Linked DNA regions of Schizosaccharomyces pombe. The gene in region 2 interacts genetically with the main gene of each other region. Each region holds a gene or a part of one and is shown on either strand. Other genes may lie near its edges.

Region 1 (5,260 bases), on a different chromosome or scaffold from region 2:
GATGAATTGGTTTTATCTATACCACTTCGAACAGTACTCTAGGTTTTTGGACAAAGTTCATGTCCTTAAGGGAGAAACTATTCGCGTTGAAGAGGATCGGAAAGGACTCTTCAACCTTTCCAAAGGAGCACAACAATCTTACGGGAATCAAATGCTCTCAGTAAACTTGCGCCCTCAGGATTTTGATATGAACTCTGTGTTGACAGCATCTACAATGCATCATATTGAATCTTCCCCACAATATATTGAACGTGTTTATTGCTCATGGGAATTAGTCTTGACGGAACACGTCTCTTCTGAATATGCTTTTTTGCTGGAGTACTTTAACCTCTCTAAAGATCAGCAGGCTACCGTTTTTGCCGCTATCTTTGAAAAAACTTTACATTTTTCACGCAAATACATTACAGGATTGATATCAAGCAGTATCGATTGCATAGGTATTTTGAAGTCCATTCGTTTTACTCAAAAATTAGCTTTACAGGCGCAAACTAATATAGTGCCTGTTATTGAGCCACACTATAACTCCATGATTCTTTTTCTGTGGCCTCGCTTTCAAGCTGTCATGGACATGCACTGTGAGTCACTCCGTAAAACTAACTTATCTGTGAAGCCAGAAGAAATCACTTCGCGACCTCATCCACTTTCGCAGCGAGTAGCTGAACTACTTTATAGCCTTTCGATGCTAAGTGTTAATGTCGTAGAAGCCGAGCCTGTTGCACGAAGTGCTTCAAGACTAGCTCAGGATTATGTGAGCATGTTACAAAACCTGTGTAAAACAGTTAATGACAAAAGGAGACAAAGTAGGTTTTTGTCCAATAATTATACCCTCATTTCGACTGTTCTTAGCGGCGTATCGGGAAATTTAGCTATAGAGCAAAAAACATATTTCGAAAAGCTTAATGAAAATTTAACTAATTTCCAATAGCCAAGATTATTAACATATAATAAATTACGTTTTATTCATTTGGTAGGATTCTATATTAAGAAAAAAATTAAAGTAGTTAATTATTTCAGGACACTTTAGTGGTAAACCACAAAAAGCAATATTATGCTTGATGTTCTTTAACAACACGTAAGAATCCAGCAACTCGACCCATATCTACTTCTCCCTGTTGACCGTCACTTTCCACGGCTTGTAACAAACTTTCCAATAATGAATCCACTCGAGATTCATCGACACCGGTGCATAGGGAAACAACCCGACGGCACTTTGATTTTATGTTGGAATTTCGTTGCCAAAGTTTGTTCGCTAATTCGTTTAATCTGGCTTCATTTCTCTCATAAGCAGCAACTTGAAACTTCAATTCAGCAATAGATAAATTTTTGTTGTTGTTTTCATTGACAGTAAAAGGAGCGTCAGCATCCAATGATAATGAATCGTGTATTCCATTGGGATCAAAAGATTCATAAAGATTACTTAATTCACTTTTCTGTTCTTCGATCGAAGTCATAAGATTTTTACAACGTTGCCTTAATTCAAGAAACAAAGTTCTTTGCGTCTCGGACACGTGTAGTTGTTCACGAAGATCGGACAGCTTTTTTGTAGATTCACGCAATTGGGTGTAGGCTGAGTCAATCATAGACTGTTTTGCAGCCATTTCATCCTGAAAATCTTTATCCAGAGAAGATATTACATCGGTCACAGAGGCGATAATGTCTCTACTCTTTTGACGAGGAGGGACAGCAGTCTTTTCTTTGCTGGACAGATTTTCACTCATAAGGGAAACTTTTGTTTGTTTTGAGTCTTCGGGTTGTTTTAATGCGTTTTCAACAAAAATTCCAAAATTTGCTACGCTTAACCCTGCACGATTAGGAATATAAGCGGAAGCTCCGGCTTGCATTAAAACTTCAACAATGTTCTTATTTCCAATTCTTGCTGCGATATTTAAAGCTGTATCCCCATTTTTATCTTGATGATTTAAATAGTTTATGAAGTCTTTCAGCATATATCCGTTGTTACCACTTGCATGTTTCTTTGCCCAATTTAATAAGGTTTCTAAGTAATATCTCGATGCTGAACCTCGGCCTTTTATACCTGCAGTAAGACAAATGTGATGAACGACGGTCCGTCCAGCTCGATCTGTACAGGGAAGAGATGCGTAAAGCAAGTCTAGTAAATCACCAAAAGAGTTCTGATTGAGATGATTGGTTACCAAAACCGATCTCATTAATGCCGTTTCTCCTGTGAGGTTGCCACGTAAAGGATTAGCTCCTTTATGTATTAAGGCTTGTAACAAAGGCATTTTGGCAACGGCTGCTGCCCAGTGCAGAGCGGCGTGTCCAAGTTCGTCAATGGGGACATCCAAATCTAATGAGTCCGACAGCTTTGCTTCTAAGGCGCTGGAATCAGCAAAGTTTACATCTAAAAAGATAGAGGTCAAAATGTCTTTTGATGTATGATAATCCTGCATAATATTCTGATCAAGTGGAGGAAGACTAGAAACCAAGGATACAAAAGAAAGTGAATGGTTCAACCTTGGCGTATCTGGAAACAATGAAGAGGCCTCATTATCATTTAACTGTGAGGAGGGATGTAAGTCTTCATCACTGACATCAATTCTATGCCGTTTTAAACGCTGTTCAAGGATAGGTGGAGAGGTGGAGAGGTAATTGTTAGAGCGTTTAACATTTTGGCTATCAATTTGAGTTAAAGGTAGTAAGAAAGAGGAAGAAGGTGAAGGTGAACTCTGCATATTGTTTATAGTGTGCACCCCATTCTTTGAAGACTTGCTAGGGTTTGAAAAATTATGATTCCTCAAAGGGGATCGCGTATTAAAAGAAGAAGTATTTAAATTTTTGGAGATTGAAGAACTTTCGATTTGTTGCTGCTTTGAAAATTTGGGGAATAAATCAAGATTAAAAGAAATTAATGGTTGTAAAATTTCATAAACCCCATATCGCTTTGCTATAGAAATTGCTCGATCATATGGAACCCATACTCCATCTATTTGAGGGTGTTTGGAGTCAACATTCTCATAGTCCCCACTCTCGATAATATCATCCAATTCTTTGGCGTTTTCAGATGACGAAGTACCAGCAAGTCGAAGTATTTGAGAGATATTAAAGTAAGAATCTGGACATCTTCGAAGAGCAACATTATCCCCACAGCTAAGCTCCATATATTTCATGCCTGAACATTCGACAGCATACAATTCTACGGGTCGGCCATCACGTAAAACTTGGGAGTTAATAAAAATCCTTGAACTAGAGTCTTTTAAAGTAGATGAATCGTTTAGTTTGTTTATATTTCTGTTTGAAAGGGGTTGTGATGGCTCATCCTCTGGGCGTTTTTGGTATGAAAAAGAATCGTTCCCCAGCTCAAACTGGCGAATAAAATTGGCTGAAGCCATTATAGTATATTAAAATAAAAAATGCCGAAAAAATATCGAATTTTTTATAAAGGGCAGCACGTTTTTCTCGAAAATAAGGGTGCTGAACTGACCATGAAAGAAGACTCGAGCTCCTCACCACTTGGTTTGTTTAAGAGATTGTGAATTCCTTTCTTTTTCAAATAAATAGAAGTAATTTTTTCGGATTTCGTGTTATACACAAATTCGCTCTGGGAAGGTTCACGCAGCTGTATACATTTGGTACGGCGTTAGACCGTATTCGAAGTAACGATATATGAGGCTTCCTAAGGAAAACAAAGGACTACTTCAATGTTCGTTTCTTCTGGGGGTTTTATTTAAAGGCTACTTAGAAATGGAATTCTTTCTCATTTCAAATACCCTGTTGAAAAATTTCCAACTTTGCTATACTCAACGACTTTACTGTTTCGGGATATGCAAAAGAGACGGATTTTTCAGTCAATTCTAATTTTCCCTAAATAAAAGTTTTGATGTTGAGTATGAAAAAATTATATTTTTTTATTGGTATTTCTAATACAAAGTAGCTTCCAACTTCCATCTTTTTCAAATAGGTAAATAGATAGACATATTAATGACGTCATATATAGAACGCGACGCGTCGAAATAAATTAAATTTAAGGATAACGTGTTCCTTAAAAGAAATGTAAATAAGCACCAACCAGCATGGAACTAAACTGTCAAGGAAACAGGTTCACTGTGGTGCAGCTTACTTAACAGAACGTTTTCCACTTAAAAACACTGCATTCTTTCGGAAACCTTCATGATCAATACGCCCTGCACGAGAGAAGGGAAACAAAATTGCAATCACTTTGGCAGTGATGAGTCCTGTCGATACTGGGCCAAATTTGTTACTATCACTGTAAACTAGTTAATATCTCTATAGAAGAAAACGAAAAAGTAAAAAAACAATTGTTGGAAACCTACATAGAATGAAATTGTTCATCGCCTTCGACCCACACATGTCCCTCGGGAACGGGTACTAATGACAACTTTTTAGGAGGTCTCGTTTTCATGATATCGTATTCTACTCCTAGAACTCTTTTTACCAATAGTTCCTCTGGGTTTTCTGGAGAGCTTGTTGCTTATTAGTAACGATAAAAAGGGAAACTCAGTACCGAAAGACCCTGCAACGATCCAAGAACTTACCGTAGTATAACTACATCTCCTCTTTTGTAATCCTTATTCCATTTCCAAAGTAGTACCCTATCTCTCTGCAGCATGTTTGTCTCAGGGTTAAAGGCTGGTTTCATAGATCTACCTTCAATTGTACCGACGCTGACTACATGTTGTTCAACGAACATTAATACGGGTACCCATAGGGTAATTCCGACTAAATTTTTAAAAAATACTGATTTAAAAGATTGATTTCGAACGAAAGGGTTTGCCATTTTTTGAGGACAACTGCTAAACTCTCTCCTCTAAGAAGTTTATGATTAACCGTCTGTATGTACCTTAACAAGCATGGGAGTTTCCGTAATTAATAATTAAACCAGGAAAACGTATTAATGAATTTTATCTGATAAGTGTCAGGCTTCTATTCCTGATCGTTTTTGTTTCAATACGGTGTGTTGCAGTAGGTAATTCAAAACCACATTAAGCTTAGCTTCCTTCTAATATTATTATAGCGAAAACTATTATTTACTTAAATTAACAACCATGGTAATAGATACAAAAAAACAAATAAATATTCTGTAAAGAAAAATGTTTTATTTTAAGAATTTATTTCCATTTCGTAAACGTTGTCCAACCAAGCTTTTAGCTACATTTGTTATTGTTAGTAATTTTGCAAACAAACAGGCTATATAGTGTGGAAAAGTAGTCTAATTTACTAAGCACCCACTATGGCTTTTTGAGCAAATACTTACCTCCCCATAAGAAACTGAAACACAATC
Region 2 (4,045 bases):
TAGTTTTGAATCGAATGCCATATTTGTTTCAAAAAAAATTCCTTCAGTAGTCAACAGTACCTTAGCTATTTTTCTATTTATTTTTATTATTTTTGGCACATCAACAATTGATTGAAATTAACTTTCAAATTTAAAGGTTTTTAACTGTTTGACTTCTTTTTTACATTGACTAAAGTATCATTGCTTCGACCGGCAAACTATCCCAATAATAGATTCTTAAGCTTATTAAAAAAAAATATTTCTTTTATTTTGAAAGATTTAATTGTATTAACGAAGTTTAATAATAAACTCTGATAGCTATACAATTGTTATTTTAATACAACTCATTTTACAATACTAAATGTTCAAGATGAGATTTAACGTTACTTAAAATAATCCCTAATTTAAATTATTATCATTACTATTTTTTTTAAAAAAGAACACTTTTTTTCATAATTCAGGCCCCTACTGTGTAAACACATTTGGATTCCTATAAATTATCAAATATTCCTTTACTAGCTGATATATGGATTCGCTTTATAAAATACAGAAAGATAGAATTTAGTACGAAGTCGGTTCAAATAAATTTATTAAATGGGTTCCAAATGCTGAAGAATTCTACTCACCTCTATAGCGTAAAAAATGGGATGCTGCATTTTCACTTTGCCGGATATTAATTGTTTTATTGTAAATCAGTGCATGGGGTTGGTTAGAGAAAAAAAACGAAAAAAGACTTGTGTAGGTATAAAGAAAAATAAACAAATAAATAAATATAGCATAAAAAAATGACTACAACCATAAAACCTCAAATGAAATATGCAAAAGATAAATTTGTAATTACTTTTTCTAATAAAGTTAACATTCATGTAAAGTAGAAAATCTGTGAAAATTTTTAAAGTGAACAGAAATCTCGAAACATCAATCAGTTACTTTATCATTTTTCATCAAAGCTTTTTCAATCAATAGCAAAGCGAAATCAAATCATTTTGTTTTCAACCTAGGTAGTAAGCTGGCTCGTGTTCATGAATGGGCAAACACTTAAATACTAAGTTAAAATGTATTATAAACGGGTGAACGTCAGAAATAAGGGACATACAAAGCGACAATTGTGAATATTCTCCTTTGGGAAAATGGTCAACAAAATGTAAAAAATCATCAGAAGAGATAAATTTGTGACAAAACAAGACAAACATTTTGTTTGCTTTTTCAAGCATACGGAAAGGGAGTAAGTGAAAATAAGAAATAAAGCATACTCATTAATATTATTAGGTAATTGTTTTGCAAATGAATTAAGCGTGTCTTTGAATGATGTGAAACCCACTGCTCGTTTCAACCACTCCACTAATTTCACCGGGTTTCAAGGCAAACGCAGCGTCTTCAAACGGTTTTTGCATTTCGTCTCTTCCAAATTCGCCTCTACACATAGTGTTAGTAAAAATCGTTCCAGTTGAAAATCAGACTACACTTGGCAAACCAACAAGAGCTTATCACCAAGTGTGGCACCACCATATACTGTCGGTCTTGCGACTCGTATTTAATTACAGTATATCAAAATACATACAATTCACCTCCGCGACGAGCGGAGCTACAATCCGACTCTTTCATGGCTAAATCATGCATGCTTACAGAGCCACTCTTTAGCAATTGTTCATAGTGTTCAGCCAGCTTCCTCGCCTCCTCCTTGCTCCTAGTAATGTGCTCCTCCTTCCATGAGCTGGGACGACGGCTTTCTCGATGCTTTACGAGTAAATGGCTAGCACGAATCTTGGGTGAATTGCTTGCCTCGGTGGGTGTAACTGACTCCTGCAACTCGTTTGCAATGAACTTTTTCAGGGCAGCCATATCAGTGGCAGCCGGAGGCTCCCATAAAGACTCATGCGTCTCAGTATTAAAGAAGTAGGGACGATTTCTGGAGCGTGAAATCTTGACAATCCATGGTTTGGGTAACCCAGTATTAGACATTTTTTTTACCACAACGCTTCTTCAAAAAATGGATTCACTAAGACAGAAAAAATCCTCAACTATAAATTACAAGCAAAACACGTTCAATCTCTGCAATTTGAAGCTTGTTTATTTGCTTTGTTTAGAGTCACGTAGTAGCTAGAGTCGTTTGCCATCTATTATGTAAATAAAGCACATTTGCTATGTTGCTATGTCAACCACCACTAAGGCCTTCGATAGGAAAGGAAATGGGGGCATTCTACCTTTTTATCCCAAGTGGGGGCACTTTCCAAAGTACCAGAAGATAGGGCATACCTTATTCGTCAATTGGAGACAAAACTCAAGGCATGCCTTTTTGCCTCAGCATAAGCGGAACACCTAGCTTGAAAGAGTAAAAAGTCGTAGAGGACTACAAATTCGATATTTATTTAATTAATCAAGAAAAATTGGTGTAATTTGAAGTAGAAACATTTTTTTTCTGGCAGATTTGAGTGGAATTTGAGGAAAAAGGTGAGAAGTTTGGAGATTTCGGATTGTTGAACGAAAATTTGTTGGATTTGAAAATTGTTAGACTTTTGGTGCATTCCTCTTTTCGTTTGTCAAAGTTTACTTAGTGTCGTAGACTGCAGTGAGAAGAGCTCGGTTTTAAGTTTTTTTTTCATAAATAATAGGTTATTGAGGTACAATTCAATTCACCTTAATGCATATTCCACACTTTCATCTTCACAAGGGTCCCAAAGGCGTGCGCACTATATCGTATGAGCAGCTTCTCTCCGAAGATGACTCGTATGCGTCTGAAAAGCTGAGTGAGGACCATGTAACGGAGGTTCATTTTGTTACTGATAAGGACGAGGATTCAAATGCTTCCGGCGAGTCGAGAGGTTCTATGGAGTTGTTGGAAAACTGTTTTTCTTTGCTGCATGCCCAGGACGATACAAGTAAATTTGTGTCATTGACCATGCTTGCAAAATTACTCAATGATCATCCCAATCTCATCTTCAAATGCTGGGAAAGGATGGATATGAAGTTTTTGGACCGCTTGCTCCTTTCCACTCATTACGAGTACGTAGATTTGGGCGTCTCCATCCTTCTCGCTTTCTGCAGTGAAGAAGCCATTTTACGAAGTTATGAAGTGAAAAAAAGGGTTTCTACTTTACTACAGTGTTGTTTGAAACATTATGATCTTTGTATCCCGGTTATATGTACTTTGTCTTCCAACCCAAAATCAGCTAAGTATCTCCTTTACTATACATCATTTATTATCAACGAATTTCCATTTGAACAAGCATTTGAAATCCTTTCAAACGCACTATACGCCCTCGACAACGTACAGACGTATATGCGTCCCATTTTCCAAGGTATCGACAAACGACGCGGATGGAAGTTGGACTGTACTTTCTCGTTTTTTAGCGATTTGTTTTCGCGATTCCCGGTTCAATCATGGTATTCCGAGGCCATTCGTGCTAATCTCCAGCCTTTGATGGATGCGGTTGTTGAACGCTTTATCACCGATAAAAATCTTTCTTCAGCTACCGTTATTCTTTCTAACCTTCTTAAAGCTGCTGGTCCCGCCTCTATTATGCCAAATGATGGGTTTATGATTTTGGTGATTGGTCGCTGCTCTGCTGAGATTCGAGGAAGTCTGGGAATGCTAGTTAAGGCAGTTGGTCAGAAAGGAAAGCATGGAACTGTGTCGTACACGGTTTGTGAATGCTATGAAGTTCTTGGACTCCTCATTCGATATCTATGTGAAAATTGTGACGTTCTTGCCCAAAGAATTGAGCCTGATAAATTTTTCCAACTTCAGCGATCGCTTACTGAGTTGTTTAGCGATACGATGGATTTTCTTCGTGATGCATGGGATAACAATAAAAACCGTGACAATTTAGCATCACATGTAACTGTAATCAGTGCTGTGGCTACCTTGTGTTTGTGGTTGACCGAAGATGACAGCCAATATGCACAAGCCTCTGGTCTTATGGACATATTTGTATATCTGTGGAGGCATAGCTGGTCGAATGGAATTGATTATGCTAAATGGATTAGCGTTGCTCTCCCTTCCATGCTGAGCAACAAGGTTTTCTTTAAAGCTTTTAAAGATTTTGATGCATGGAAAGTTGTTTAT

Evidence for each region. Genes that interact genetically often act in the same process or in processes that back each other up.
Region 1: mutations in pin1 (region 2) and cdc10 impair growth when combined (synthetic growth defect), as found in Schizosaccharomyces pombe (one study listed by BioGRID).

The regions. Positions count from the first base shown.
Region 1 is NC_003423.3:2,760,241-2,765,500, forward strand, and holds cdc10 (DNA-binding transcription factor, MBF transcription factor complex subunit Cdc10), read right to left. Parts: upstream 3,561-5,260; 5' UTR 3,351-3,560; coding exon 1,047-3,350; 3' UTR 926-1,046; downstream 1-925. Other genes in the region: GARP complex subunit Vps52, read left to right, coding at 1-925; mmp2 (endopeptidase catalytic subunit), read right to left, coding at 4,075-4,225, 4,293-4,442, 4,515-4,756; PAN complex subunit Ppk26, read right to left, coding at 5,080-5,127, 5,234-5,260. UniProt on the Schizosaccharomyces pombe protein: Major component of the cell cycle transcription factor complex MBF (MCB binding factor, also known as DSC1), that controls G1-S phase specific gene expression. Involved in the control of rRNA production, via interaction with pol5.
Region 2 is NC_003421.2:662,564-666,608, reverse strand, and holds pin1 (peptidyl-prolyl cis-trans isomerase Pin1), read right to left. Parts: upstream 2,078-4,045; 5' UTR 1,942-2,077; coding exon 1,541-1,941; exon of another isoform or gene 1,396-1,540; coding exon 1,269-1,395; 3' UTR 552-1,268; downstream 1-551. Other genes in the region: protein asi1, read left to right, coding at 2,621-4,045. UniProt on the Schizosaccharomyces pombe protein: Has a role in the G1/S stage transition of mitosis where it is involved in the dephosphorylation of cdc25 and wee1.